Schizosaccharomyces pombe: one gene and its partners. The protein of the gene in region 4 purifies or fractionates together with the protein of the main gene of each other region. This does not show direct contact. Each region holds a gene or a part of one and is shown on either strand. Other genes may lie near its edges. The genes, in order: gtb1, alp4, mod21 and gfh1.

What was found.
Region 1: the proteins of gfh1 (region 4) and gtb1 purify together in Schizosaccharomyces pombe (affinity purification with western blotting, with the first as the bait; one study listed by BioGRID). This does not show direct contact.
Region 2: the proteins of gfh1 (region 4) and alp4 purify together in Schizosaccharomyces pombe (affinity purification with western blotting; 3 studies listed by BioGRID, with this or other methods). This does not show direct contact.
Region 3: the proteins of gfh1 (region 4) and mod21 purify together in Schizosaccharomyces pombe (affinity purification with western blotting, with the first as the bait; one study listed by BioGRID). This does not show direct contact.

Annotation. Positions count from the first base shown.
Region 1 is NC_003423.3:2,789,218-2,797,570, forward strand, and holds gtb1 (gamma-tubulin Gtb1), read left to right. Parts: upstream 1-2,133; 5' UTR 2,134-2,252; coding exon 2,253-2,301; exon of another isoform or gene 2,302-2,363; coding exon 2,364-2,476; exon of another isoform or gene 2,477-2,525; coding exon 2,526-2,579; exon of another isoform or gene 2,580-2,648; coding exon 2,649-3,125; exon of another isoform or gene 3,126-3,169; coding exon 3,170-3,634; intron 3,635-3,684; coding exon 3,685-3,800; intron 3,801-3,858; coding exon 3,859-3,925; 3' UTR 3,926-4,004; coding exon of another isoform or gene 4,005-4,510; 3' UTR 4,511-4,601; coding exon of another isoform or gene 4,602-4,734; 3' UTR 4,735-4,795; coding exon of another isoform or gene 4,796-4,810; 3' UTR 4,811-4,967; downstream 4,968-8,353. Other genes in the region: H2O2 scavenger glutathione peroxidase Gpx1, read right to left, coding at 1-330; protein Cwf12, read right to left, coding at 4,005-4,510, 4,602-4,734, 4,796-4,810; P-TEFB-associated cyclin T Pch1, read left to right, coding at 5,749-5,927, 5,985-6,529, 6,573-6,877; SPOM_SPBC32F12.07C (MARCH family ubiquitin-protein ligase E3), read right to left, coding at 7,099-8,121. UniProt on the Schizosaccharomyces pombe protein: Tubulin is the major constituent of microtubules. The gamma chain is found at microtubule organizing centers (MTOC) such as the spindle poles or the centrosome, suggesting that it is involved in the minus-end nucleation of microtubule assembly.
Region 2 is NC_003423.3:2,520,027-2,528,657, forward strand, and holds alp4 (gamma tubulin complex GCP2 subunit Alp4), read left to right. Parts: upstream 1-4,034; coding exon 4,035-6,389; 3' UTR 6,390-7,108; downstream 7,109-8,631. Other genes in the region: Ran GTPase-binding protein Hba1, read right to left, coding at 1-744; UDP-glucose 4-epimerase Uge1, read right to left, coding at 1,597-2,598, 2,767-2,829, 2,897-2,899. UniProt on the Schizosaccharomyces pombe protein: Component of the gamma tubule complex that is required for the regulation of both interphase microtubules and mitotic bipolar spindles.
Region 3 is NC_003424.3:246,331-254,153, forward strand, and holds mod21 (gamma tubulin complex GCP5 subunit Mod21), read right to left. Parts: upstream 4,597-7,823; 5' UTR 4,441-4,596; coding exon 4,277-4,440; exon of another isoform or gene 4,220-4,276; coding exon 2,350-4,219; 3' UTR 2,249-2,349; downstream 1-2,248. Other genes in the region: SPOM_SPAC806.06C (nicotinamide mononucleotide adenylyltransferase), read right to left, coding at 1-80; nucleoside diphosphate kinase Ndk1, read left to right, coding at 1,598-2,053; fatty acid elongase Elo1, read right to left, coding at 5,396-6,007, 6,062-6,422, 7,260-7,384. UniProt on the Schizosaccharomyces pombe protein: Component of the gamma-tubulin complex that is required for the regulation of both interphase microtubule organization and nucleation, and mitotic bipolar spindles. Required for correct septation.
Region 4 is NC_003423.3:3,879,832-3,887,362, forward strand, and holds gfh1 (gamma tubulin complex GCP4 subunit Gfh1), read left to right. Parts: upstream 1-4,018; 5' UTR 4,019-4,101; coding exon 4,102-5,835; 3' UTR 5,836-5,896; downstream 5,897-7,531. Other genes in the region: gea1 (guanyl-nucleotide exchange factor), read right to left, coding at 1-9; MCM complex subunit Mcm6, read right to left, coding at 487-3,165; sap10 (splicing factor 3B), read left to right, coding at 3,390-3,392, 3,455-3,537, 3,593-3,764; ubiquitin conjugating enzyme Ubc8, read right to left, coding at 6,181-6,735. UniProt on the Schizosaccharomyces pombe protein: Required for proper anchoring of astral microtubules at the spindle pole bodies (SPBs), during anaphase, ensuring correct cell polarity.

The DNA of each region.
Region 1 (8,353 bases), 1.1 Mb from region 4:
CAAGAATTGATAAACAGGGTCGACGTTGTCGCCATTAACATTGATCTTGGCCAGTACAGGGAAGGTTACGCCATAGTTCTTTTGGCAAAATTGAGCGATTTCTTCGTCAGAACCGGGTTCTTGGTTTCCAAATTGATTGCAAGGGAATCCAAGGATGATAAATCCTCTATCCTTGTATTTCTGATACAACGCCTCAAGACCTTTGTATTGAGGAGTGAATCCACATTTGCTCGCTGTATTGACAACAAGGACCACTTTACCCTTCAAGTTGCTGAAAGGAAAAGGATTTCCATCCTTGTCCTTAGGAGCCAAGTCGTAGAAATGAGACATTTTAACTTACAAAACTCAATACTAATAGAATGAGTAGGTTGAAAGTAAGGTGTAGCGCGGCTGACCGTCCTACTTATGTTTCCAGCTGACCTTATTTCATAATGACATCAGACCTTAGTTTGGGTCAACACGATCTTTTAACAAGAGAAATTTACGTAAAATTAATAAAAATTCCAAGGAAGAAAAGTCGGATCGCATTTATCAAAAGAAATCTTATTTATTTAATCAGTCTCACATTCTTTTTCCTTTGTTTGCTGCTTTTAAAGTTAAAAAAAGGATATGTCGCAGTATACTGCCATTGTCTTTTGTCAACATACCACCAAAATGACAGAAATTTTTGCTGCTATTTAGTAAAAATATTTCAAATTTCGTATTTGTAAAGGTTATGCATAGAATGGCTGAGACTCATACTTAAACAGTATAGGTATCTAAACATTGTATGGGGCGATTGTAGCAGCAAACGATTAAGTAGTTTGCGTTAGTTACAACACCTAGTAATGGTTTGCTACCTTTTGTTTAAAATAATAGTAGACGAGATTGCCAATGGCCGATGTTGTTTATCTTAAAGTTGAAAGTGAAGCGAAACCTTTTTCTAACTTTAAGAGTGGGATTTCTTCCATCCAAAAGAATATGCACTGCAACAAGATATAGGACACAGGCAAATTATTTGACAAAAACAAGGAACCGTATAACTACTTTTTTACTTTAATCTACAAATAAATTAGTAGGATGTAGAAAAAGGTATCAGTGATAGATTATTTATGTATTATCTTAAAAGTATTGTTTTTTGCCCTTTGAAGGGCAAAAAGCAAAAAGGATCAAAATTATGCTCCAGCAGTGACTTGAACACTGGGCCTCTTGCTTACTAGGCAAGCGCTCTACCACTGAGCTACAAGAGCTAGTTGGAATCATTTGCTAAAAGGTATATATATATGCATAACTATTAAGAAATGCTCAGTATTTTTTTGAAATAGAAAATGTTGATATTCGGTTTCTATTATTAAGTTTTAAATTCCAAACATTGTAAATATGTCGTCGTTCTTTACATTCTTTTTTTAATAAATCTTGGTTTAAGTTAAAACCCAATTTTACAAGCTCGCAACTTTGTTGTTAATAAAAAAAAATGTTACACCTGCTAAATAAATATTAAAATCAAACTGTTGTTGTGTGGTATTACCTTATTGAGCTTAATTATAATTTCAGTAAAAATTTATGTTCAATTTTTTTTTTTACTTTCAATTAATTTATTTATTTATTAATTTGTAAAATATTTAGACCTTTGCCAAATAATTATTTGTTAATTTTTCATTTTCTACAATCTGTATTAATTAAGATAAAATTGTCTTCAAAAATACTTTTAGTTTTTGGAAAATCATTTGTTTCAGTGTTTGAGTATCCACATGAATTGTCTAATTTTATATCACTATTATTTTTTTATTCGAACACTCATAAATTGTGTCTATTGTGTTACTTTCAATTTTAATATTTACATTCAAAGTTGCATATATTTTTTACGAAATAATGTACTAAATGATTTAGAAATATTTAGATACGATAGTAATCAATACTAAATTTTATGACACATTCTAAATTCACTTACTTTGGCTTTCTAATTTCCTGTTAGAAAAATTGTCATTCCTAATTGAATTTTGCAGCAATGCTCGAATCAGCTCCAAGGTTGATAAATTTATAGTCAAGAAATATGTAATTATTTATAATAATCTAGTCTAGTTGACCTGGAAAATGTTTGCTTTTCTTACTACCAACCTTCTCTTATCGACCTACAGTTCACCCAAGCACAGCGAAATACCTCAAGATACCCTTCTTTTGAAAACCACCTATTTCAGCAAAAAATCTTTCGCGGTTGTACTTTTAAGTAAGAAGCAAACATCAAAGATTGTTTGCTCCTTCATTGTTTAATCATGGGCAGAGAAATCATTACGTTACAAGCTGGTCAATGTGGTAATCAAAGTATGTTCACCTATACTACTATTAATCAAATCGAAATTCTAATTACTCACAAACTTGTCTAGTTGGTTCACAATTCTGGCAACAGTTGTGTTTGGAACATGGCATTGGGCCTGATGGCACGCTAGAAAGTTTCGCAACTGAGGGTGTTGATCGAAAAGACGTTTTTTTCTACCAGGTTGGTTTATTGATACACTTTAAAGTTTCAACATGTTAACTCATTTTAGTCTGATGATACTAGATACATTCCTAGAGCCATTTTGATTGATCTGGAACCAAGAGTATGTTATCGCATCCTTTTATTAGTATTTGCTGAAATATTCAAGTGACTAATGTCCTCTTTACCTTAGGTGGTCAACAATATTCTAAGCGACACCTACGGCAGCCTTTATAATCCCGAAAATATACTTATTACCAAAAATGGAGGAGGTGCTGGCAATAATTGGGCTAATGGTTATTCGCATGCTGAGAGGATTTTTGAAGATATAATGGACATGATAGATCGTGAAGCTGATGGAAGTGATTCTCTAGAGGGTTTCTCGCTTTTACATTCTATCGCTGGTGGAACGGGTTCTGGGCTGGGCTCTTTCTTGCTTGAGAGATTAAACGATCGTTATCCCAAGAAGATTATCCAAACTTATTCAGTATTCCCTAATAGTCAATCCGTATCAGATGTTGTGGTTCAGCCTTACAACAGTCTTCTTGCATTGAAGCGACTGACATTGAATGCTGATTCTGTTGTTGTGTTGGACAATGCAGCACTTGCTCATATTGCTGCTGATCGGTTACATACTCAGAACCCTACGTTTCATCAACAAAACCAATTGGTAATTGATTTATATTAGGTCTTTTCATCAACTAACTATTCTAGGTTTCAACTGTTATGTCTGCCAGTACAACAACTTTAAGATATCCTGGCTACATGAACAACGATCTTGTCAGTATAATAGCTTCATTAATTCCAAGTCCTCGCTGTCACTTTTTACTAACCTCATACACTCCTTTTACCAATCAGCAAGTGGAAGAAGCAAAGGCCATTCGGAAAACTACCGTGCTTGATGTGATGAGAAGGTTGTTGTTGCCTAAAAACCAGATGGTTTCCGTCAATCCTAGCAAAAAGAGTTGCTTTATTAGTATTTTGGATATCATTCAAGGAGAAGCAGATCCGGCGGACGTTCACAAATCCTTGCTTCGCATAAGAGAACGACGATACGCTTCATTCATTCCTTGGGGACCAGCAAGTATACAAGTTGCACTTTCTAAAAAGTCGCCCTATATAAAAACGAACCACCGTGTTAGTGGACTTATGCTTGCAAATCACACTAGTATTGCCTCTGTATGTTTCTGCAAATTTTTTTTTGAGACATTTAATACTAATCTTTGTAGTTATTCAAGAGAACACTAGATCAATATGATCGTTTGCGGAAACGAAATGCCTTTTTAGAGCAATATAAAAAGGAGGCTATTTTCGAAGATGATCTTAACGAATTCGATTCTTCTCGGTAAGTATCTTGTCTTATAATTTCATATTTTGAGTTAATTTACTAATGTATTTGACAGCGACGTCGTTGCCGACTTGATCAATGAATACGAAGCTTGTGAAGATCCCAATTATTTATCTCTTTAAAAAATCCTTCATAGTTTACGATGTCAAAGCAGACTTAAAATATAAAATTAATTCTCCTATCCTAGTCCTACTTCATAATCTATGAAATTCTGCTCAGCAAAGCATTTTTACGCCTTTCTAAAAGAATGGCTTCAACATCGTCTCTAGTTGGTATTTGCTCAATGACAAGAGGTTTCCAATCTTGTTCAACTTCATCACCAAGGTTCTCAAGATGTTTATGTTGTTGTTCTTCAATCTTTGCCTCAAAATCTTCTAATAGACTCTCTTGTGCTGGCGGTATGTAACCAAAGTACCAGGCGTCTAACCTTCTTTTCTGCATCTCCTGTTTGCGCTGTCTTTCCGGTATAAAACTCATATCAGCTTCAAAAAGTTCCTTAACGCCAGGTAACTCTCGAGCTCTTCCGTAATAACGATAATCGTCTATATCACTGATTTGTTCTCCTTCATCCTCAAATAGCTTTGCTTTATTATACAGATAATTAATCCCACCCAGATCACGAATTTGTACCTCCCATTCGTGTTTTTCACGCATCAATCGATTAATTGCATCGTTCAAATCTCGAATTTGATATTCAGGCAACGTTGCTATTCATGGTTAGAATACACAGAAATGATAAAAGCGGAATCAAGTTTAGCAAGTTAATTAAATTTGCTAATAAAACAATCTAGGACGTACCACTTTGAATTCGAGAGATCTTGCGAGAGATATCTTTTACTACACTAGCCCTATGTTTTTCACATATCGGCACAGACTTAATGCTTTTTATATCCTTGGGTCTCTTTTCCGTTGGTTTGCTGCCCACTACATACTATAACAAAGGGGTTAGTGACTGACGCTTAGGTTCTCATGCATATTCGTATGAACCTTACTTTCGCTGATGACATTGTAAAATTAAATGAAAATGATAGACTTGGTAATTAAAAAAATAGAGAAGGAAAGGCTCATTAAAATTTGACACAGAAAATAAATAATATAGACAAGTTTTATGGTATTTATCGAAATCAAGGCAAACCCAACACTTAATTAATTGACCTTCAACAGCCAATTCTTATTTAAGTACTTGAAAATTTGCTCAAGTTCCACCGATTGTGAAGACAAGCAAAAAACTTATAAGCAAGAAATTGAATGCATACAAGTAGTTATTTCGTGTAAGAAACACTTTATAAAACGGAAAAGAACAGCCAAAGTGAATAAGCTTATTGAAGCGCAACAAGCTTCTTAATTCATGGATAACGAAGTCCTCTTCTAAAAAAAGTACTAGTCTAAATAGTAACTAAGTATTTTATGTTCACTACAATTAAAGGATGATATTATTGCATAAATGGTCCCTTTCAAAATGATTACCACTTTTAATCCATCGTATTCAATATACTGTCAAGAATTAGGCAATTGTTGATGAAGTAGGTAACATCAATCATTTGGAAAAGTTCATTTCATCTCTTTGGTATCGGCTTTAACCTAAAAAAGAGTTGTTTATAAGAGATTAGCAGAACGATTTATAAGTATACAGTTGATTTTTTGAATATCTTACAAAGACTTAAAATTAAACAATCGTTGAGACCGTCAAAATCGTTAAAACTGACTTACGAATTATTCTAATAATCACTATATTCAATCAACGTAAATGGACAAGCATCGTTGTGGTAGATTTCCCCCTGAAAGATAGTAACCACCCTCCATTCTTCGCATTCTTTAGTTGAGGTATGTTAATTATATACTAAATGATTTACTGTTCTTTGATTTTGCTTATTCTTGCTCAATTATAGTTTGTTTTTAATAATTTGGCGACGGTAATCTCATATATAAAATCGATGAATTTCACATGAGTGAAGTAATAAAATCTGTACCCCCGGGCTCTCAAAACACTTCTCAGTGGATAATAAGTAAAGATCAGTTGGTATTTACTCCATCTGCATTAGATGGGATACCTTTAGATCAAGAAGAAATTCAAAGATCTAAAGGATGCAATTTCATTATAAATGTCGGGCTGAGATTAAAACTGTACGTTAATTACGATGTATCAGTTCAGTAAATTAATGAAACTAACAATAATAACAGACCTCAAACTGCGCTTGCTACTGCTAACATCTATTTCCATCGATTTTATCTTCGATTCTCACTCAAAAATTATCATTATTATGAAGTTGCTGCTACTTGCATTTTCTTGGCAACCAAGGTTGAGGATTCCGTTCGTAAACTTCGCGATATTGTAATTAACTGTGCAAAGGTTGCTCAAAAAAACAGCAATGTTTTGGTTGACGAGCAAACCAAAGAATACTGGCGGTGGAGAGATGTTATCTTGTACACAGAGGAAGTACTGTTAGAAGCTTTATGCTTTGACTTTACGGTTGAACATCCATATCCTTACGTCCTAAGTTTTATCAAAAAATTCGTGGCTGATGATAAAAATGTCACTAAGGTTGCTTGGACATACATTAACGATAGCACTAGAAGTATCGCATGTCTACTTTACTCTCCGAAAACTATAGCTGCTGCAGCATTCCAATTTGCATTAGAAAAGAACGAAATAAATCTCTCTACTACGACTGATGGGCTTCCGGTATGGATGGAAGAGTCTCAAGTTTCTTATGAAGACGTTAAAGGTATATTATATATTTTTTTATAGCCTTAGCACTAACAATGCAGGAGTGTTGACACTAATCGACTCGTTATACAAAAAGATAAACCCTTCCAAACAAGCCCTTCCAATCGACCAAAAAAACGGATCTCATGCTTCCAGCGTAGCTCCTGGGACACCGTCGTCATTGGCTTCCGTCTCGACACAAGCTACCCCTCAACATCAAAATTCATCAGGAAGAACTGACTCATTTCATTCCCTAAACACAGAAACCCCATCAAAAAGTACGGTGGACGACCAAATACTGTCGACAGCCGCCCAGCCAAAAAAATCATCTGATACAGATAAAGAGATGGAGACGGAAGCTTCATAAAAAAGAAAAATAATTCCAGATTGGAAATTTTATAAGTTATAAAAATTATTAATGCTATCAGCATCTTTATATTTATTTTTGGATTCGAATAAATCGATAACACGGTTTTAGAATATTGCTCGTAATAAAAGGCTTAAATTAAGTTCATGAGTATTTTTAAAAAGTAAATGCGTGAAAGAAATATTGCCGGAACTTAACAGTTTGACAACTTCATTGTTTGCTTATGAGTCAGAAACTCTACGAGGATTGTCGAGAATTCGAATGCTCCAGGGTTTTCTCTTTCTCCAAGCAATGAAACCATAGACAAAAATGTCCTTAAAAACTAATGCAGCAAAGGCACCAATAATGCTCTTCTCTAACTTTGTGAAATTCCCTGGAATAAACCTTCCCAAAAATTTCCCTGCTAATGGGAATAGTAGAATCGGTCGAACAATACGGAGAATTTTCGTAGTAAAAGCATCAAGGAAAACGTGTGCCACAGACAAAAGAATCCAAAATTCAGATTCTGTATCTTCTCTTTCGTTTACATCCTCGACTTGGTTACGATGCTCTACTTGTGCTTCAAACTGGCGAAACCAATCAGTTTCAGAATCTTCAAATTCCCCGTCCGCTCCAATTACAATACCGTCAAATATACGGGTCATTAGTTCCTTATATAAAGATCTTACCCAAGGCAGAGTGCACAGTAGAAGTGAGGTATTCGAAATCTTTTCCGCGCAACTATAAATTGAAAAATGCGTGTAGAGACTAAATGCTATATCATAAGGCGGAGCTTCGTAGAACCGAACCAACATGCATGGTAATAAAGGCAATACGACAGAGGAGAAAACTGGCTTTTTTAACATTTCTATCAGGCTGCTTTCATCTGCCACCTGTTTACATATCCATATTCCAGTCTGTTTGAATATTGAATAAATAAACTTGGTAATACCTAAACAAGAACCTACACCAAACGTTACTTGAGCTAGACCAGCTTCAAGGGAATGACCGATTCCAAGAACGTTTACAGCCCAAGACTTTTCCTTTGGCGGTTTAGCAATTCTATATGCGGTAAGACATTGAGGACAACGAGTACTGCCAGATCTGGTAATGTAAGAAATCAAACAACTTTCATGAGCAATGAGTGAACACCGACACGGACGTCTCCAAGAATCATTTGAAAGGGAGCATAGTTTTTTGTCGTATTCCTCATAGCATATCCAGCAGCGAGCACTGCTTTTCTCATACTTCGCGGTGTCCGTCATTTAGCAGAACCTCGGGGTTTTCCAATACAAAAAAGAAAATTTAGAATAAATAAAATAAACGCTTAACGTCAATGTTTCAAAACAAAATAGGTTTTAAAATATAGGCATTTTCCTGAACAAATTCTAACATAAAGATAGTTCAGTACTTTCTCATAAGTTTAGGAGCCTTAGTAATTAAAAAGATTGGGTATTGAAAGTAAAGTTGAAAGTGTGGAATGAACAATATAATTTA
Region 2 (8,631 bases), 1.4 Mb from region 4:
AGCCTCCTTAGGTTCCGATTTGGTTTCACCAGCTGAACCTTTCTGATTCTCGAATGCTTTGGCTGACGTATTCGCAAGTAACTCGTCAAAGTTCTCTGAACTCTTTTTATCATTTTCTTTTTCTTTGCCAGAACCACTTTCTGTTTCAACTGCTGTTCCTGCAGCAAACTTTTTAAATGGGCTATCCTTAACGCTCTTCATTGTGAACGCTGACTTTGAAGAAGCGAAAGCACCAAATGCTGATTTCTCTTCTTTTGGTTCAGAGGAGGCGGTTGAAACATTGGAGAATGGAGACGAGGCATTAGAGAATGAAGCAAATTGTGAAAAGGGAGAAACACTCGCGGCAGGCTTAGCAGCCGATTCTTTTTTGCCTGTCTCTACAGCTACGTGTCCCTCATTTTCATCAACATCCTTATTCACCTTCAATTCTTTTTCTTCTACCTTACCTCCAGTTGAGATACATGGCTCCGTGTTTGATTCCTTTTGGATTTTAGTAGACTCAGTAATCTCAACCTCCGGTTTTACGCCATTGCTCTTCGTAGTCTCTTTAAATTCCTTAACTTCAGCATTCCCTTTATCTTCCAGCGGTTCACTCTTCGAGACTTTAGTGGAAACCGCTGATTCTTCTTCTGCCGGATCGTGCTTTCGCTTTGAAGTTTCGTCTTTTGTTTCGTTCGATTTTTCTTCTAACGCATTTTTGGTAGAAATGCTTTCATCTTTATTATTTTCCATTTTGCTGGTCATTATATCCACTTAAATATTATTTGCTTAATCGTATTTTCGTAATTTTTGATGTTGGGGGTATTAAGTGTAGTTTGGAATCCCGAATCACTGAAAGCCTAATATATTTCACCTAGCTATGAGTACATGAGGACGAATGTGGATTCAATCAAACACACAGCTGTTTAAAGATTTAAGATTTAATTATACGATTACATTCATTGAACAGCTGCGAATAATTTAAATTCATTTGAAAAAAAACGCTAATCTAGCATGTCATGAAGTGCAAATCTCATAACTGTCTATTTAAAAAGTTAAAAAACATTCAACCTTGGTATATATTCACTTACTCATTATTAATAATTTTGATTTCAATACGGTGCTTGACTTCTAATCTTCGGCTAACGTAAAAGTTATAGACAGTATTATAACAAGTATTATTGTAAAATCTAAGCTATATCGAAATAGGAATTGAAAATGATTGACAAAGTAGAACCTTTGAATAAAAAAATACAATTAAAAGGTGAAATATAAAGAAACTTCAATATTAGAAAAAATGTCAACTTGACGAAAATGCGTATGCAAAAGAAAGAAATAAAAATGTAAACCGAAAGTGATTGTTTTGAAATAAGCTTCATTGTTAAATCCCTTTTAAAACATAAGTTATTCGCAAACCGGTATTATTAGCGACCTAATCGATAGCTCGAGCGCACTTACAATAAACAATTAAGGTACAGGAAAGGGAAAAGGGTTCATCAAACAATACATTATAATGTCTTTGAATCCATAAGTCCTAAAACATATTATGCAAATTTGAATCAAGAAAGAGAAGGAAATTATTTAAAACCCACTTAATCCGAAAAGGAAGAGTATGGTTTACTTATATGTCTTGGTATGGGTCAGGTCAAAGCCATAGGGATACTTCTGTTGCCATCTCCAAGTGTCAACGCAAATTTCATAAATGCTACGACTGGTTTTCCATTTTAACTCCTCGTTAGCGCGAGTGGGGTTGGCGGTTAGGTTAACAACGTCCCCTGCTCTTCTAGGGGTGACCTTATAAGGAAGATCTCTTCCAACAGCTTTCGAAAACGCATTGAGCACCTGAAAAACAGTACTACCAGTTCCTGATCCCAAATTCCAAGGGCGGCAACTAACAAAATGTTGGCGCAGGTAATCGAGAGCAGCAACATGAGCCTCTGCCAAATCGCATACGTGAATGTAGTCACGAATTGGAGTACCGTCAGATGTGGGATAATCGTCGCCAAATACATTCAAATGATCCAATCTTCCTACAGCAACTTGCGCGATATAAGGAAGCAAGTTATTAGGGATGCCAAGAGGATCTTCACCGAGTTCACCAGAGGGATGAGCACCTCCGGGATTAAAATAGCGTAATAAAGCTGCATTAAGCGATTTGTTCACCTTGGTCTCATCCTCAATGATATTTTCAATGAAAAGCTTTGTGCGACCATATGGGCTTGTACCTTCACGAGGGCATGACTCTGGAATAGGAATGGTACCACCAGGTCTAGTAGGATCGCCATACACGGTAGCAGATGAAGAAAAGACGAAGTCACGTACATTATACTTCTTCATGCACTCTATTAAATTAATGGTACCGGAAATGTTATTTTTGTAATAACTCAAAGGAACCTGTACAGATTCACCAACTGCTTTGAGACCAGCAAAATGAATGACAGCAGATATGTTTTGATTTGCGAAGACCTTGTCCAAAGCTGGCTCATCAAGCAAATCCACCTGGTGGAATATGACTTTTTTCCCAGTGAGTTTTTCAATGCGGTGCACGGCTTCAACGCGAGAATTGCATAAATTATCGACAATTACAACATCATATCCTTTTTCTAACAAAACAACGCACTATTGCAGATTGTGGTTAGCAAAATATCTCAAAAAAGAGCTTTATAGAATATGGACGAAATTGTATAAAAGTAAAGAGCAGCAAGCTATATTCACAAAAGATGCGTGCTTAAAACATTTACATGTACATTACTAATCCTCTTCTGTATCTTCAAGCTCTCTACGTACCGTATGAGAACCTATATAACCAGCGCCGCCAGTAACCAACACAGTCCCTTCATGAACACCAGTCTATGAATCATAATTAGTATTTTCATACAAAAGAATGCTTTTGATTAATTAAAAAAGTTATTCATACCATTTTACACGTTATAATTTGATATTAAAGGGGTGGGCTCAAGACTGTAGCTATTATGCTCTTTCTTTGTTGGATATTCAGTTTCCTACATGCTCAAGGTATCAATGCAGGTCGTTACCTCCTGTAACCTGACATGATGTAAAACGAGCAAAAGCCACAATGAAGCTTAAGCTAAAAGTGAAAAGTGCTTGTATATCTCGCTAAACCATTTTATTGATATATCGCTAAAAAATTCCTAATCATAATATTATATAGTAACAAAGAGGTCGTCGGAATAAGTGTATAGCAGATGAATGCCTGTGATTAGGTGTATGGATTTTTCATGTTCATAAAGCATTGAGGTAGTAATTTAATGTATGTGCATTTACCAATAAATTTTTTTTTTGTATTTATTTTTTTAAAAGATGAACTCGAGATTTTACAACCAATATACACTTTGATAGATGTAATGTTTGTGATTTCACCACCAGCTTCATGCGACTACAAAATCCTTGCTTCCCTAGAAAAGCATTTTATCTGTAAATAAATCATTGATGCTTATATGTATTTTTGAAAAAATTTATTTTGTTAAAGAAATAACAAGTAAATGTATAATTAACATAAAACCGAGCTAAATTTATTGCTTTTATTATGCAAATATTACCTACTGGCTAGTAAATAAAGCGAAGTAGTCTGCATTAGAATAAAAAATTTAAACACAACAAAAAAAAAAAAAAAAAAAAAAAAAAAAAGATGAAGGGAATAAATCCCTCAAGCTTAGGATCTAAAATTTTTATCCATTCAAAATAAACTCTAGCATATAGAATTTGTCACTGTCTACTGCTATCCATATATACTCGAATGAGTATTTGGGGTCCTTTGAGTTTACGGTAGTCTTACAATAGAAAATGCTGCAGTCTTCTAGTTATGTATTTTTTGACTAATTTTTTTTATACTTTTTTGCATTTTTTAATGCTACACGGACCTGAGTTGGTTTGCTTTGAAATTGCGTTGATTGTTAGCTGGCGCATACTTACCAACCTACATCTTAAAACTGGCCTGCTGGTAAACAAGCATATCCGAATAATAATTACAAAGAGCACTAAATATTAAATAAATGTTCACACTTTTGTAGATTATATAAAAAAAGACTCTTTAAATGGTGAGATCGATTAGTTCGGTGCTTGCTAAAGAAGAAAGCGAGAATGGGAGTCCAATTCCAGCTCTCGAGGAAGGGAGCGTTTATCATGTCTCTTTGAAGAGTGAAGGTGTTTCTCCATTTTCTGATAGGATTCAATTAAATTATCTTTACGATGGGAAGACTTTTAGCGATCCTTCGAACTTAAATATCCATCAGCAGGAAGCATGTCTCATAAACGAACTCTTAAATGCATTTATGGGCATGGAGGGTGTATTTGTACATCTCCAAGACATGAAAGCATCCTCTGAGTTTGAAACCATTATTATGCCGCCATCGTTTTATATTCTTCCTGGATTTGATTTAGGTATAAAGGATATTGCTTCTGAGATGTTAGAGATGGGGTCTCATTATTTAAGTATCACAGCTTTTATAGAATCGAGAAGCCATTTTGAATACGGATTTGTTAACCACGCATTGTGCGCTGCTTTGCGAAAGTTTGTGATGGACTACGTGGTACTTATCATGCAGTGTGAAAATCAGAGCCGAATTGATCCAAATTTTTCTCTTCAAACTCTTCGCCTTTATACTCTTCCCACATCGCGTTCATTACGACAAGTGTATTTAATTCTACGTGACCTGCTTTTGTCTATGGAAAAGAATGCTTCCAGCAGCGATGATTTAGGTCTTAGTAACATCGACGATCTTTTAGAGCAACTTAATGAAGGAAATGACATTTCACATGTTGTTAATGCCACTAGGTCTAAGAAAAAGGTTTGTAAAGGTGGGCAAGTCATTTCTTTTTTGACCGAAAGTCTTACGAAATATGCGGGTGATCCTGTGGCACGAAAAATCCTAACCTATTTATTGCGCGAAGCTTCACGCCCTTATACAAAAATGTTGAATGAGTGGATCCATCTCGGGCTCGTAAATGACCCATATGATGAATTTATGATAAAAATACACAAAGGAATCACATCTATGCAACTTGATGAAGACTACACAGATGAATATTGGGAAAAACGATACGTGATTCGAGAGGATCAAGTTCCTCCACAATTGCTTGATTTACAAAACAAGGTACTCTTTGCAGGCAAGTATTTGAACGTCGTTTTAGAGTGTAGGAAGGGAGTTAATAACCTGGCTTCGTTAAATGCAAAAGACGATACTCAAAACCAGTTGCTCTGGCCTTCAACCTTCGATGATGATAACTTTACTTTAAATATCATGAATGCCTATGTTTATGCAAATGAATCTCTCTTGCAATTACTCCAGTCTTCACAGTCTCTTTACGCTCATCTGTACTCGCTCAAACATTATTTTTTCCTTGATCAATCTGACTTTTTTACAACATTTCTTGACAATGCTCAACACGAGCTACGAAAACCTGCAAAGTATATATCTATCACGAAGTTGCAGTCGCAATTAGATTTAGCCCTTCGTCAGCCTGGTACGATAACTGCGACTGATCCACATAAAGAATACGTGACTGTAGAAGTGAATCAAACATCATTAATAGACTGGCTCATGCATATTGTAAGTATCAGTGGTTTGGAAGAAGGAACATCATCTCAGGGAAACGAAGTTTGGAATGAATCAATCACGAAGCAAGCGGATGTGGGCAATGAAACTCGAAATTTTGAGAGTGAACACAATCGGAGCACACAGGGGACTTCAAAAGTTGGTAGCGATAAAGATATTAATGGATTTGAAACGATGCAACTATGCTATAAAGTTCCATTTCCCCTTTCACTTATTTTATCCCGCAAAGCTATTATTCGATATCAACTTTTGTTCAGATATTTTCTTTTACTTCGTCACGTTGAAATGCAACTTGAGAATAGTTGGGTGCAGCACAGCAAGAATAGTGCTTGGCGTCTCAATTCCTCCAATGCGAAAATCGAACAATGGAAAAGGAACAGCTGGTTATTAAGGACACGAATGCTTAGTTTTGTTCAAAAAATAATCTACTATACTACAAGTGAGGTGATTGAAACACATTGGGGGAAATTTATGGGAGAACTTGAGAACGCCCGAACTGTGGATAATTTAATGCAGGAGCATATCGATTTTTTGGATACGTGTCTAAAAGAATGCATGCTTACTAACTCGCGATTACTTAAAGTACAATCTAAATTACTTAATACTTGTGCTATGTTTGCCTCTTATACTTCCACGTTTACCCGATCCTTATATTTGCTTGAGAATTCCGAAGAAAGCTTTGATGAAGGAAGAATGGATAAGATGGAAGAAATTTTACGCCGGTACGAAGACAGTTTTAGTCGTCATTTAAAATCCTTAGTGAATGCTTGTAACTACTTTGCAAGTACTGAGACGGCGGCTCTTTTAAGTTTAGTAATGAAATTGACGGGATAACTAAGAAGAGACAAGATAAAACAAGGCAAGGTAGAAAAACTACAAATGGAACAACGTTACTATTGTTTTATTGAGATATGAAGAAACATCTGACAAACAGCAATGGAAATTGGGAGAAAAACTTTTATGGATATTTATATAGTCGGTTTTTGGATAACCTTATCTTTGACATCTTGTTGCTTGTACTCGTTAATAAAGAAATGACTTGGAGTGAGGATCTTGCGGAATGGCCAATTATCTTCATAAACAAGCATTGCTTATCCGCAGTATACATTGGTCCATTTTCAGTAGTTTGGACTTTTTTTTGGCCAGTTGTCACACTAAAAGCGTACTGCACTATTCGGTTAAAAATTGACAAAAAGACGACTGCCATTGGCCATGAATTTAAGAATGATTATGGAGAAAGGCATGGCGAGCGTTTAATATGCCAACACTTGTGTTATATAAAAAATAATCGATTTTTTAAAATGTCTGAAACAGGGTTTGCTGATAATGCCTGAGGAATGGTAACTTGGATTTTTGATCGCTAATTTTTTATTAGCTATGTCGCTAAATTTAAGGCAAGTCGGCAGTATGCCGCGTGATTGAGGAAGAACGAAGAGAGAGGCTAAGCATTTGTTCCTAGTCTAAAGAGCTATCGATTGATTTTGAAGTGATACAATGTATGCTAACGTTTGTACCATAGACAGCTATAGTAATGAACTTTGTTATGTGAAGAAGTACAGTTGCTACGACAGTAATGATGATGATGTATGTATATAAAAACCAAACCAAGGTTTAATTTAGGTGGTTATAGTATTGTATACGCAAAACTATTCATTTGTGTGCACTCGTAATGAATTTCTAGTAATTGTATTTTGCAGTTAAAAGTTTAATGGATGCGTAAACAAAGGAACAGGTAAGCTAGTAAAGCGCATACAAAAATTGTAATATCGAAGGAAAACGTCAATTTAGATTAGTGTAGGATGGTTATTACGAAAGGATAGAGTTACTATGAAAAGTGAGTACAGATTGTATGATTAAGTATGGGGGCGATAGCTGGGTGTGAGGCAAAGGAATCATATGACTTTAGAATTATCGCATCAAGGAGTAAGAAAAACGAAAACTTATCTCACAGTGGATTGCCCAAAATTATCAATCCCCCACCATGTAAGAGGAAACAAGAGAAACAGAGAGAGGGAGAAAGAAATAATTAGAAACTAGCAAATATACTTTACAGATTACAAATGGACACGATAAGTAAGTTAAGATGAAATAAAGGGGAAGATAACAAGGAACGGAATATAAAAGAGCATTTCGAACCGAATGAAACATTTTAAGCCGAATGTATTGAAATCGAAATATTTGAATTGAGAGATTTTTATTTTATCTGACTAATGATGAGAAAGGATAGAAGAGAACAAATAGAATAGAAATAGAACTAAAGATAAAAAATATGAGAACCAAAATAGCAAAACAAAAAAAGCTAAATACTAGGTAATTAATAAAAAAAAATTTAAAAAAGGATTTCTAGTAAGCGTACTACTAAAACAAGTTTAAGGATTTGATGAAAGATTGTATGTTAGAAAAATTTTCATCCTCTTTTTTTTTTTTTTTTTCTTCAAACTTCATACAAACGTAAATATCTCTCAAATTTTGCAATACCGTCCTCTTCTTCCTCGTCGATTTAGATCCGAAATTCTCCTTGGCAGCAGGGGACGGAAAATGAAATAAAGTGTTTTAGCAATTGGGATCGCGAAACCACCTGCTAGAAAGTGTTTAGGAAGAGAGTCGCCGTTCGAAACATAGCGATAACGAGTTCAAGAGCAGTATCCGTAAATTCAGAGGATTAGTGAGTGCCAACACTTCTTATAGATTACGGATAGTAAGCAGTAGTAGATGAAGGATGATGGATAGGTGGATGATCGGGGTGGGAGAAAGTAGGGAGACAGAAGGAAAATGGAATGTAGCTAACTGATAATGAAGAGAGAGAGAGAAAGATTATTTCGTAGATAAAATTTGGTGAGCTTTGACAAGATAAGTTTTGTTGGAAAAATTATGAAAGTATGCAAGAGTGTGAAGAGTAAACAAAAAAGAAAAAGAGACGTTATAAGAGGAAGGATGAGTTTGATGATCTTTTAATATCTAACGAACATAAAAAACTAATGAATGTAATAATTAATAAATGAAGCAAACTAGCGAATGCAACACCACCTATTGATTGCTTTATTTATTTATTTTTTTGCTTGACAAATACCCTTTG
Region 3 (7,823 bases), on a different chromosome or scaffold from region 4:
TTACTGGACGAAGAATTACGAGACAACAGGGGATTCTTCGGAAATGAATTTGCAAAATTATCCCCATTCATGGTGTGCATATTAAAAAGGAATTATGACGAGGAATGGTAGACAATCACAATCGGGTCAATAAAGAAACAGAATCGGTAATAATAATACAAAAATCGATCAAAACCGCGTATAATAAGAAAACCCTCTTTTTCCAAATAATGACAGACAACAAGCGAACAAATAGGATCAAAAATTTAAAGGCTGCGGGAGAAAGAGGATACTAAATTCTAAAGAAAAATGAATAGCAAAGTAGGATATGGGAAACGAAGGAAAAAAATTAAAATTACCCTTTAGGTATGGAAAAACGATAATGTATAACCAGCGTCTAAATTTGGTTGGAATTACTTGTGATTTCTTAGTGCAACTCTCGAATAACAGTTGTAGAAAAAGAATGAAGGATAACCTATAAAAAGAATTGAAATAAAAAAGAAAAGAAAAGAGGAAATTTGACGACGAATCGCAAAAGAAACGTTTCCCGATCTAAGCACTTTTATGTCCTCAAAGTTGGCTCAAAACTGATATTCAGTGCCTCTTGTCACTAATATCAATAATAAATATTAAAGGTAAACCTTTTTGAAAGGAAAACGGTTCTTTTTAACAACCTACAGCTTAAACTGATATTTTTTGCGTTTTTGGTGGTATAATGGTTATGCGTACAATGGTGACTTAATGTGCAGATAAACAGCGCTCGAAAAGAATGTAAATAAAAAGTGATGATACTACAACTGAATTGTTAAGAAAAACAACTTATCCCTCGTCCGTTTATGAGTAAAATTGTGAGACGGCTGTCATGCTCATTAGATAGACATATAATGATTTAAGCTTATCTAAATCCCGGATTTTCGAGTATATGCCATTACGAATATACATAAATTCGCAAACAAGGATAAAACTCTAGGAATAATCATAAAAGCCTTATTCGTATATCAAGACAATGTTAACAATTATATGTATAGGGATAACTAATATATGTACGGAAAAAACCGTTTGCATGAAGTGATGTAGATGTACTTGGAATTGTATCTATTATCAACTGGTTGATAATCAAATTTTGCAGGTATCCCAATACTAAGTTGGTATCAATTACAAGTTCTTCTAACTTTTATTAGTGGTTTCATTCGTTACATGGTCCTAAAACAGTAAGAAGTTGGCGATTGGGATAATAACAAATCCATTATATAGTATACAATAAGCCTTACAATCTTTTGATTTGTGGAGAGTTTTTACGTATGTAAAAAAACAAAACTGGCTTACCGTCTACGGGTACGCTTTGAATGCTTTGTAATGTGTTTGTAAATATGCATTTTTTGTAAACAATAATTTACGACCATTAAGATATCTGAGGCTTGGTGCTCTAAAAATATAAGAAGGTGTACTATAACGATTCTTATCATTTTTTATTATTTACATCTGTTTCCGCTTTGTTTATGCAATCATATTGTGAGTGTTATTTGTCCTTGCTCCGTAATCCTTTATATGGGATAGTAGACGGGACAGCTCCCATCTACTCAACCACCTCATATCACCGAGTATAAGCATTTTTGATATGTCGACAGAACAAACTTTTATCGCTGTGAAACCGGACGCAGTTCAGCGAGGACTGATTGGATACATCATCTCAAAATTTGAGTTGAAGGGCTACAAACTACGTGCTCTAAAATTTTTAGTTCCTAGTCGTGATCTTGTGGAAGAACATTATGCCGAACATAAAGGAAAGCCTTTTTATGAGAAACTCGTTGGTTTCATGGCATCAGGCCCTGTATGTGCCATGATATGGGAAGGTAAACAAGCCGTGAAAACTGGTCGCTTAATGTTGGGCGCCAGTAACCCTCTGGATTCTGCCCCTGGCACTATTCGCGGTGATTATGGTATCGACCTTGGTAGAAACGTTTGCCATGGTTCTGATTCCATAGAAAGCGCTAATCGTGAAATTAAACTTTGGTTCCAGCCTTCGGAAATCCAAGTTTACGATCGTACAATTGAACCTTGGATTTACGAATGAATAAGAAGAAGTTAAAGAGCCTCTTCAAAAGGACTCGTGTTTGTTATGGGTGATGCAAACTATCAGCAACACCCAAAGCAAATAAATATGACTAATGATTTTCTACCTTCATTAAAGCACACTATCATTTTTTTTAATAGATATAGGTCTTTTTCAAATATCATTCGTTAGTAAACGACATGAAACTAGAGAAATCGCATGTAAGTCAGTATGGTTTTACTCATCCAAAAGGTTACTTTTATGAAATCTATTGATTCTATACACGTAATGGTAAATATTATGGCATTTTATCGTAATCATGGCATTATAAGGAATAATAAGTCAGCCAAATTTCGTCTACATCGATAGGCAGAACTACCAATGGGAACAGAAGGATGTATGAGATTGTCCGCTAGTTTCGCTATTATATTACAGGTTTGGTCCAACGTAAATAACGGATCATTTTTAATTCCTGAAACGGTCGAAATTTGATATGTATTTTCCATGACATCTGGTAGCTCTTGCTTTTGACAATTGAGCAGCTCTTCATTTAAGAGCTTCTTTATGTCATCAACAAAAAATTCAGATAAACATTTCTGCTTTTGCTTTAAAATAAGTTTCTCTTTTTCCCCTATTACAGATTCATCATCAACATCATTATTAAGCGTTTCAAAAACGCCGTTGAATATAGAATTTTCATCAACTTCAGTAAAAGATTGATATAGTGTTAGGAAAAAATTATGACAGGTGTTGACGAATACATAATGCCCATAATAGAAACGACTAAATCTTTTTGACCATAACGACTTTTTAGCTTCTTCTTGTTGTTTTATTAAATTTTCAAACTCCCCCATTAAACTTTGAAAGTCAAAAGATAAATCCAAAGATTTACCAAGCTTTAAAATTTTGCTTCTAATTAATATTTCCATTTCCACAAGTAAATTGTTTAGAGTTGGAGATTGGTCAAAAACAATACTACCCAATTGGAGAGCAATATTGTCTTTCTCAAGGAAATTGTTAGGAAAATCCTTACAAAGGATTAAAATGTTATATAGAGGCCTGGCTATAGTCATAGAACTGGTAATTTGTGAGGCTTGATTAACCATCCACAATAACATTGCAATAGCAGAAGCTTTATAGAGCTTGAACATTTGTGAAGAGTAATTCCTTGTTGAATATATGAACTCCAATGTTTTAACAAAATCCCACATATTCGTTGCTGATTTTTCGTAAGCGAAACGAAAGCACAATAGTGGATCAACGAATTTTTTTACATGTTGAAAAAATTGAAAAAGAGTACAGTTCTTTGTAGCGTTATAAACTTCTGTTTCGAGTTTAATAAGCTCTTGGTGTGTGTTTTTTAAACAACTTAAGAGATGTGGTTTTATTTGAGGATAAATGAAGACAACAGAGAGAAACGGCTCATTCTTGGTACTTTGGTCATCACTTTTAAAAAACGAATCGCTAGGAGATGTTAGTTTTTGTCGAAAAAATTCCAAGTTAGAACCGTAATCGGCAAGTTCTGTCATTATACTGCGAAGAATCTCTTCGCTCATGTGATGAAGCTTTGGTAATAAAGAAAGTCGTGTTTCAATTTTTGAACCATTTTTTAAGAAGAAAAAACTTGGATAACCTATCAACATATATATAGAGTCGCGAATAATACTTCTTTCAGATATTCGGACAGTTTCGTTCAAACTAGAATCCCAAAACATAAAGGGTTTTATCTGTAAAAAATCTAAATTCGGTTGCTTGCTTTTTTTAAATAAAGTACATAGCTTATTGTTAGACGCGTTGTCAGACTCCTCGATGATAGGGATGTGGATGTTGGCTGGTATCGTAATTTCATTAGCATTTCCATTGAAAGTTTCTTCCTCAGAGTCTTCTGTTATGGTTTCATCATCAGGCATTGAAGACCAGTCAGGCATCAACCAGTGGTCTCCTTCACAACTAGTTAATAACTGGATTATAGCTTCTTGTTCATTCTTGTTGCAATCTTTGTAGACGGGAATTTGTGGGACATGTATATCTGAGGGTGGTTTAGATAATTCAAGGAAAAGTTTTAATATTTGGGCATGCAATATACTTTGCTTGACACTAACGGTTTGACGATTGAGAACTTCACAAGCGTTTCGTAAAGGCATTTCTAAATCTTCCCGACCTTGTATACCCATTTTGTCACAGATGCTAGATCAAGTTAGTCTTAACATTCCAACAACAATCGGCAGATCTGCTTTACGTTACCCTTTTATATGTTCTATCATTTCATGAAATACCAATGTCGAACTAGGGACATTTTGAATGATTTTCTTTGAATGTTTTAACCATTCACTAGCAACTAATGAATCATTATGTATTAGTTCCCTTAAGAGATGCTGTAGGATTTGATCCGCACGAGACATTGTCATTTACAGTTCTTGATAAAACATTTATTAAGCTTTGCCTGTATTCTCATATGTTCTTTATTATGTGCTGATATTGCTAAAATGCCGATTAAGGAGTGTATATTTCGTATACTATCGCGAATGAAGGAAAATTTTTGTTTGACATGAGAGAAATGAGTTGAGTCAATTTATGACTGAAGGGGGTTAATCATTATTTGCCGTTAAGCTGTGTAAGTCATTTATAATAGTAATAAAAAAAAAACTAATATATTTTGTTTTAAACGTATTTACTGTTATTAGATTAACCGGCGCCGCTCCCTAACTGAAATAGTAAGAAAACTTCAAAATAAATAATGAATTCCGTATGCTCACTTGCAATGACTACAAGTTATACAGAGAAATTTACCAACCTTACACAACTGTAGTACTGTTATTAGAACGTATATTTTCTTACTAATTTATACCCATTTTTCATAAGTTGTGCATTAGTATTACCATGGTTTTTTAATATAAAATATTAAACAAATGGACTTTTAATCTTTGGAAAAAAAGATTCAGAACATTATATTGAAGAAAAGATTTTGGCTCTGATTTTTTTAATTATATTATCACACCATCAAGTTTGACCTTAAGATACCACGAAGTTAACAAATCTATACTTAGTAGAGGTTTAGCTAAAAAGTTTAGAACATGTAAAGACGTCGATAAATCTTGATTAAGGAATGGGAAAAAGGATTCACTGGATAAAAGGTAGTAATCGAATATAGACAAGGATGTAAAGCTAACGGACAATTAAGTACTTTCAAAATTCACAAAATCGTCGCCCGTAAGTCACTCCAACTATTAATTGGTAATTCTAAATGCAACGTTAAGCAGAACAAAGAAAAAAAAGGCACTTGTAGACTTTAGGGCTCAATATCAAGTTATAAGTAAGAGCAAAATCGGGTAATTAAAAACCATAAGAGGTACCACGAAAACATTATTTTTCATTGTTTAAACCTGAAGAAATAGGATACAGATTAGTAACTATATTATTGCATTTAACCTCGGCAATAGAAGCGTTACTTTTTGAGAGACGCTTTAAGTCCGCATTTTTAGAAGATTCTGATGAGTTACCTTTTGTTGCAGCTGCAGCCTTAGCTTTCATTTTGAGAGCAGCATTTTTCTTGTAAGTGTTATGGTAAAAGACGATAAACAAAACAAGGTATGAAGAGATTGTTGCGAGACCACAGAACGCCGCTAAAGGATGTCCTGAGCAATGGCCCATACAGGCTTTGTAAAACTTCAACCGATACGCAACCTCCGTGTATACTGCGAAATAAATAAAACCTAAATCAGCAAAGAACTGAACGATCTGAAAGCGGGTGACCCATTTCTTCCAAGGAACCCGAATACCTTTGGCTACAAGATAGTAGTAATAATACATAGTAACATGAACCAATAAATTGATTTCAATGATCAACCAACTGATGGAAGTTCTGCCAACAATTTGAGTATATACAAGAACGGCAGTGGCACCATGATGGTAGCAATGAAGGAATTGAAGGGGTTTTTTGCGGAGGACAAGGAAAAAAGTATCTGTCAATTCAAGCTAAAACGTATGTTAGAATGAAAAAAGTATGGTCAAAAAACGATGGAGACGTACGAATTTTGAAATATAAGCACAGTAGTATAAAAATACCAGCGGTTGAGTCCATGCTTTCTCATTGCAGATAGAAAAGAAAAAACCGTGCTTGTAAATAGCAGGGGCTACTTGTTCAAAAATCAAAAGTGCAAGGATAGCTGAAGCGATGGAAAAAGTCAAATTATAATATTGGAAAATCTTTTGAAGACGGATAGGTTGCCTATTACGCATAATTCTACCTCCGACAAGAATTAAAAGATAGTAAGATATGATGATGGTTGCAACGACCGGGGCGGACGAAAAGCGGGTTTTGTTTACGATAAATTCAAAGGAAGATGGCCGCTTTCCGAATGTGGCATCTGCCAGGGAATTTAACCATGACCTAAAAATTGTTAGTAAAAATCAACATGAAAGCCTCTCAATCGCATTAAAACTAGTGAAATTTCTATTGTTCTTTCAGACGCTTGCTTTCATGTTTGGTAGTACTTAACGACTACACACAAAAGTAACACATGATGTGCCTCAAAAAAAGACACACCCCAGAGATGAACATTCCACAATCAATCAGTAATACCAGCAATCCAACATCAGCTAAAAAGTCACAGAGTTTAACTTGAGATGAAAAAGTTTTGGATGAAAAAAATTTCAGTAAACCTAACGAAATTTTCACCCTTGTTGATTCCACCTACTCTGCCGAGTCTATCGGGCCGTCAGCGAAAATGATTGGCTAAGAGCTCGCTTTACGAACCGTTAAGCATCCACATGGTGGAGATCTTAATAAACAACGGAATGATAAAAAACAACAACGAAAACTAGAAATACCGATCCGCTTTTTATCAATTGAATATCTAACAGAGGATGCTGAACGGAACGATATAGCGAGCGACAGTGTAACAACGGTAAGCAAAGAAAGGACGACAACAAAGACCGGTATGCTGGTAGGAGAGTGTCAAAAACAAAGAAAACTCAAAACAGAAAGTGGCTGGTCTACAGTCAAAATTTCAGAAAATTCAAAATAAACAGCGCCGGAAGTAGAAAGGCATTGAACAAGGATAAACGAAAAATATATACTGATTGATTTGTGTGGAAAAAAAGCAAGCATCTTCTAGAAGAGAAATTCACGTACGCATCACTATGTAGGCACATTAGTGAGCAAAGCTATGGCAAACATGGAAAACAGTTAAATAGCTTAGCGGAGGCATAATATCGACAAACTCACCAGATGGGATACTGAAATTGTCCTACCGAAACAGATGCCATGCCTTGATGATTATTGTTAGAGGTTAGAGACCCGTTCTCAAGCCCAATAATATGGTTATGGTGAAGGGTAGGTGAGTCAGGCATAATGAAAACGTATTTGAGATTTGCAGGGTACAAATGGCGGAGACTAGCAAGTAACGAAAACAAATAATACCGTAAAATACGGACGAAGTTTAAGAATTTGGTATCGAGTTCTTTAAATGAAAATACGGATGAGTTCAGCCCGCTCACTGCGTTGTGATATTTGCACAAAAAAAGCGAGGAAGGGGATGCGGGTAGGTGGAAGAAAAAAGAAAAAGACTATTCCAAAGCAAGGGAATAAGGAACGGAAGCTGAAACAAAAAGAAACGAAGGTTCCAGGAGTATGTAAGGGGTTAAACTGTACAGACTGCAATCACAGAAAAACCGTGGGAATGGATGGACGGGATGAAAAAATAAAATAACAATATCCCTGACGATATCGAGAAATAAGGAAACGAGATTCGATCTCTGCTTGGAGTTGAAAAAACGTGGATTCAACGGA
Region 4 (7,531 bases):
CACTTCCATAGCCCTTCTGTAGCTACTAATCAAGAGTCTTTATAAAAAGTAACTTGAGGTGTTTACTATTGTAAATAGCGTAGAGGTTTAGTCCTGAACAGTCTCACCCTTCCTTTGGTGTTGAACGGATTTCAGCAGATATGCTTCAACATATTAACATTGCTTAACGTATCACTATACTAATTTACCTGGGTTATATGTTTGAAATAAACATAGATTAATCTGATAAATGTCTAGATCAGGAAAATGAGTATATATTTTTCGGTAGGATCCAATAGTATTATCAAATTTAGTGAATAAAAGTACAAAAAAAGAGTGTAAAGATTAAAATAACAAATCAGGGTTTCTACGGTATGCAGTGAGGAAAAAAAAAATACACCAATTTCGTGAATTAAAGTAGTGCTTCAACAATTAATGTCAGGTCTGTTTCAAAAATACGCCTCACTGATAAAACTTATAAGAGATCGTTACGAATCTTTTATAACCTTAGTTCGGAACATCGCCATTGCTCAGTAGAGCATCAATGTCACAGTTAGGGTGTATTGAAAATACGCGTTCTTCAAAAGGAAGCCTCACGGCGCTGTCAGTTAAATTTTGAATTTCCATGATGATCGATTCGTGAACAAGCCTGGTTAATACCTTACGCACAAGACCAACCTCATAGATGATGTCTTCCTCGGTATGGAATTGGTCTTCCCTAAGCTCGAGATATGACTGAACTAGGTCTCCCGCTGGTACTCCATCTACACCTTCAGTAGAGCGCTGGCGTAAAACCTGTAATATTCCGTTCATAATCGAAACATATTTGTCGTAAGTAATTTTTACTTTTGGTTTCTGCAAAGCTTCTTCCGAAGAAACATTATCATTGCCATTTGTTGTATTAGTATTATCATTCTCAAGTTCTTGGGCCTCTGCATCATCTTCTTCAACCTCAATATCATCTCTTTCCACATGGATAATTGATTGACGTAATAAAGAGTATGCTTCGTTGACAAATGCAGGAGTAATATCATCTACACAGTTTGCTCTTGCAATGGCTTCTGATAGACGAATCATTGACTCCAGTTGTCGCACGGTAATACGATATGAATTTTTACCAGCACCTTGCGCGTCATCCATCCGCAATTGCTTGTACTTTTTAACAATTTCGGCACAAGATTCTGTATTTAACTTTGGTTTGAAAGTCCTTGCATATCTGATATATCGTTGAAGTTGCTCAGTACTAAATTCAGGTTGCATGGCATCATCCCGTAAACGATGAATGTCAACAATATGCTTAGCTAAATGTCTATCAACTGATTCATTGCACTCATCTAGTACAACGAAGAATAAATCAAACCGTGACATGATAGGAGCAGACATATTGATGTTATTCCGCAAAGTTGTTTTTCGGTTATAGCGGCCACCTATTGGATTTGCAGCAGCAAGGATAGATGTCCGTGCGTTTAATGTAGCTTGAATTCCAGCTTTTGCTATAGATATCGTTTGTTGTTCCATTGCTTCATGAATAGCAACTTGGTCTGACAGATCCATTTTATCGAATTCATCTATAGCACATATTCCATTGTCAGCCAACATTAAAGCGCCTGCTTCTATAGTAAAATCCCCAGTTTCTTCGTCCTTAACAACTGCAGCTGTGAGACCGGCCGCAGATGATGCCTTTCCAGAAGTGTAGATTGCACGAGGAAGAAAATTGCAAACGTATTTAAGAAATTGTGATTTCGAAGTACTGGGGTCGCCGACAATACAAATGTTCAGGTCGCCACGAAGATTTATACCTTCAGGAGTTAACTTGTGAACACCACCCATTAACTGTAAAAGAATCCCCTTCTTAATTATTTCATGACCATAAACAGAGGGAGCCAGTGAGTTTGTCAAACGAGAATAAATATGATCTGAATGCACCATCGCACGTAAATCATCAATTTCTTCTTGAGAAAGCGATTGCAAAAATTCATCTTGCTCTTCGATCCCTTGAGAACCATCCCCTCTGACATCCGCACCGCTTTTATCATTTGCATCATCTGGTTGAACCATGCAAGCTAAAAAAGATAGTTTATATGTAAGATCACGTACACCTAAAGACTTCAGTCCTGTCACACCATCTGCATCTCTACCACCAAAATTGCGAGAATCTCGATAAGCTTCTGGCTTTACACCAGGAATTCCTAGCTGTGAGACATCTGGAACGGCAATAAGAATTCCCGTAAATGCGCATTTGTCACCAGCCTTAGCCCTTTCAACAATATCTCCGCGCAAAATTACGTCCAAAGTTCGTGGCATAGAACCCGTAGGAATCTCGTTGCTATTTTCTTGAATGCGCACCTTTTGCCAGTCCTGAAAAGAAGACTGTGAAATATTGAGCCGCCAACTTCTTTTATTAGCACAAAGTTCATTAGGGCATTGAGTTGGTTCAGTATAGCGAAATGCTTGCTCAACATTTGAAACTACAGTGTGGCATTCCTCACAGATAAAAGTACCTTGTGCTAATTCAGGGCGTACTTCAGAAGTACGAGTAACTGTACCTGTAATAGTCGTGAGTCTACCGATACGATCTGTTCGTAAGTCCCGAATTGTGGATCGAAAGGGTAAATTGTAAAATGCAAGAGCAAATGTTTTGTCACTGGCTTTAAAGTTCGGTGAAAGTGAAGCATTTTCACGAGAAAGAGAACTTCTATAATATTCTGGTTCAAACTTTTCAATCAACTTTTGTAAAGCTCGAAGTAAGAAAGGAGAAAATCGATAATATTGCTCAACTATCGCAAGAGCTAACACATCATTGTACGAGGTTAAATGCTTATAATCAACGTAAACGGTATGAATCTCATACATTGCCAATCCATGAATCTGTTGAACATAATATTTCTCTTGTGATGCAGAAGGGAGAGCATCACCTCCAGCAACGCGGTCATCAGAAAATGACAATAAAAACTCTTCAAAGGCTTCACGTACTGATTCTCCGGTTGTATCAATTACCTTTGGTATGGCTTCTCCTATAGCAGCAAAAGGTTTCCTTTTCACCATTCCATCATCCTCGAGCATAGCACTCGACTCAGGTTGTGAAGGCATACTTACAGTTGGCCTGTCCCCAACTTCTGAAGTTTGAAACCCATAACGATATGCAGGAGTTGAAGCATTATTACCCTGAGATGCAAGAGAAGACATCTTCAAGTGTAGTGCTCCCTATTATCAAAAAACTGCAACTACAGGTTTTTGGTCAAAGGATAGCAATGTTTATTTTGAAACGTTTATTTCTGTGGTTGCTTTGGTGCGCTAGAAATCGCAATTTAGAATTGCAAATTACAGTATTATACCTTATTCGTTTCAATTAACAATATGTGTTAAAAAAACCCAGTCTGAACATTATACCACATATTCCAATATATACTATGGTAAGAAAAAAATTCTTGAATTATCTCTATTCTATGCTTCTTTCATTTATTAACGATTGTAGGCAGACAGGTTGCGCTCTCAAGCAAAACTAGAACAGTTACAAGCGCGTTATGTTGGTGTCGGTAATGCGTTTACCACCAAATAGTAAGTACTAATCGGTTTATTTGACAAATGAATTTTCGCTCACCATATAAACTAGTGAATGGATGGTAAATCAGCACCGGGATACTTTGTCTTCTGTAGTGGGGCATCCACCGTTGCTCGCATATATGGCAACGGCGCTCGGCGAACCGAGAGTCCAAGTTCGCAAAAACCTATTAGAAAAAATGATCATGCCATGTGGACCACCTCCCCCTTCTAATCAATTTTAAAGTGTTGTGTTTACCTGTTGCCCAAAATTAATGTCGTTAAACCTTCGCTCGTCTGAGACTTTGTTTGTTTAAGATAAACAGTACCTACTAGGTTATTACAAAATAATATATATATATATATATATATATATATATTAATTGAATTATATGCAATGCTACATTGATTATTGTTCATTGTAACAACGCAAGACATTCCCTAGTCGTTACCTTCAAAGTAACACGAATAAGTTTTAGCTATTTATCTCATTTACTACGAAAGCCTCCTTTGGAGTAGTTTACTTAAATTGGCTATATGTTGAATATTTTCATGCAAACTCTGTAACAATAAATACATTATATGTTGCATGAGATTATTTTGTTGCTCGCAGGGAATACTTCTGGCCTGTTTATTGAGAAAAATGGTCAAATACTACTGCATCCATCTGTTCAACCATTACACCCTGGTGAACGAGAATTAATTAATGACATAGTATCTTTGGCAAGTAAAAGGAAAAGGATAGAACGATATATTGAAATTTTTGATGAAGATTTGATTCAGCAAAACCAGTTTCTTCTTAAAGCTCTTAGACTTCTGCTTTCGAAAAAATTATTTCTTTATGATGAAAGTCTAGCTAATTTAGAGCGGATGATTATATCCAGCGATCCTTATTTTGTAGGTTCCGGAAAATTCGTATCCTTGGCGCAATTAGAAGCGCATTTAGCAGATTGGAAAGAAACTTTATCTAGTCTGCTAGTACTTCAAGGTAATATTTCTCAATGCTTGAGTGTAGCTTCTACGTTTCAAAAGCTGCATAATATGTATATGGGCTCTACTCATTTGAATTTTAAAAAGCTGGTTTTAGAGTGTGAATGTGCTTTTCAGAAGACTTGGCTTGACGAATTAGTGCAGTATTTGGTAAATGATTCCGGCGATGACAGCTTCAAATGTTCGTTTTTATGCGGTGATACTAAAGATTTTGTATCTTGTAGCAATAATGTCCCTTTTTTGACCCAAGACATCGTTAATTGCTTAGTTTCAATACGAACGTGTATGCTCAATGCAAAAAAATGTTTCACAGACGCTTTCTGTGAAATTCTTAGATGTTTCTACAGACTGGTATATGAAATGCCTTTGCCTTTAACGAAATCTTCAGTGACAAAATTAGCAGATGAAATGTTCACTCTGGTATCAGAAAAAATAATATTTCAATTAGCTTCGTTTCATCAGATTTTCGATTTGGTAAAAATGCTAGAGATGGTGATGTTACTTGAAAATGTTGAGTTTCTTCCAACATTATCTGAAATGTTCAGAGACGTTCGTGGTGAATATTGCAGTTCAAATGACGTTCAAGGGGTAGTAATTGATGATATTTTACCCGTTGTTTTAAGGAAAACTATTTCTTTACTTGATCTCGCTACTGAATATGGAGAATGTGTATCTTTTCTAAAACTTGTAAGTATCTTTGATGAAGAAGATGAAATGATTCGCTCTGAGAATCGTAAAATCGATGTAGAGGGACTCAATATGCAACTGTTATTGTGTTTAAAATGGCCGTTCAATTTGTTTATGGATAAAAATGCTTTAAATGTGTATTCCGATTTATGGATACTACTAGGTTCTTTACACTTAAGTATAACTAAAATCAAATCCCTTTTTTACGAAAGAAAGGAGTATACTGCCAAAGGTATTTCTCAACCATGGACTCAATTGTGGGTGACTTTATGGTTCTTATCATCTTTACAATATTATGCCTACGAATGTGTTATAAAGCCGTCATATTGTAAATTACGGGAATCTCTTACTGAGTTATATAGAACACAAAAGTTACGTATGCAAGACTGTTCTCAATTGCATGCTTTAACGTTGACTTACGCTAAGAAAATGTTGTTTTTTTACGATGATGATTTACACATTTCTTTAAACTCGATTTACCATGAGCTTTCTTTATTTCGTAGTCAAGAAGTTTCGAAAGTTGACTGTCAGTTAGCTGCTCACGTATCTCATTCGATTGAATGCATACGACAGAAAGAAAATGATCCATCGTATGATAGGGAAATAATTAACGCGCTGATTGTTCAGCTTAATTTATAGGTAGATATGATCAATGTATTTATTTAATATTTTTTTTCTATTTTATTTAAATATTAGTTCTCATTAACTATGCATCATGGAGTTATAGTCGTAAATTATGCTGCAGTAACTTGAAGCTTCAAGAAAATAAACCTATTAAATATCGTTGTCACGACTACTGATTGAAAGCAAATTCAAACGGGTTTTGCAAGCGACAGCATGCAAAAAGAATCATTCAATGCATCAATAGAAAAAAAAGTGTAACAGATTTAGCTATCCATCGGTTTATTGAATGCCACAATCAGTATCCATAAAGAGAATTCAAAAAAGAATCAATGTATATCAAACAAAGCAACGTAACGAAATTTAAAAATCAGAGTCCATTGGACCAGCAATTTCATCGCCAGATTCAGTGTCAATAGAAGACATGGTGTCATCATCTGAAGAGTCGTTCAAAGTTATATCAGCGTCTTCTTTATTAGCATACCGAGCGATATAATCTCGAACCTTGGCATAGTAGGTATTCGGCTCTCGCAATAATAGAGCTGCTGCCTCTCCATTTAGAGGGTCCGACGCATTAGGATAACGGAGTAGCTGTGGAAGAAAAACCTCAAAAATATTAATCATATCAAACATTGGAGACCAAGTTTGATTTATCACGTCCAAGCAAACACTTCCACTAAGCTCATCGATATTGGGATGAAATATACGATTTACAAATCCAATACTTGGAGATTTCCAAGGATACTCACTTGGCAGTTCAACATGAACTTTCCATATTCCACCTGAGTAAGGGGTTTCAGACGGTCCATGGAACCTAACGTAAAATTCTTGCATATTATCATTGACAAGAGTTACCTCGTAATCACTCATCAGCAGCTTCATAACGTCCGTCTCAATTCTGCGCCTTGGGCTCGACATTTTGATTTTTTATAGTTTTATTTCAAAACTAAAAAAGAACTCAATAATTTTAAGCTAGTGTAGTATTCAAATACGGTAATTTGCTGCAATAAAGGCAAATTCGCAAATTCAGCAGTTTTCGAGTAATTTTCAATAAAATCAAATTATTTTGGACTTTTGGAAAGATTCTTAGCTTCCGTTTTAAATGGTTCTATCCTATTGTCCGTGAATATATCAAATTTTTAAAAGCAACAACTAATAATCATCAATGACCTAATTTAAATGAAAGCAATTTTATTGTATAGAAGAATCCCCTCTTTATCGTCCTTCTTATTGTTAAATATATTTTAATTTACAAACGAGGCAATTGAGCATAAGTTTGGCTATGATGAAGACGCGGAATTTCGCTGATTTGGAGGTTATAAGAAGCAGGTAACAGTATGTGAGTAACAATGATTCTAGTACTACCAAGATGCTTTCGTCTCAATGCAGCTTGATAAATTAGTATCAAATATATGTATTAATAAAATCTCAGCATTTGTTTTGTTCTATTGGAATCGATAAATAGACTGGAAAAAATTGGAAAGAGTTAATCGTTTGGCTACTGAATATATTCGCGAGTGATAAAAACTAAGATCTTTAATTTAATATTTACTCGTATTTTTCATAACAAACGTAACTTGCGGATGGCCAAGCTGATTTCAAAGAAGAAAATCTACTTAGGGAAGTCATCTGCTTGTTTGTCGAGAAAAGATAGCGTCTCCCTTCAAATGTGTGTTAAGGAAAAAAAGGCAAAACTTGAGCATTGCCAACTAAT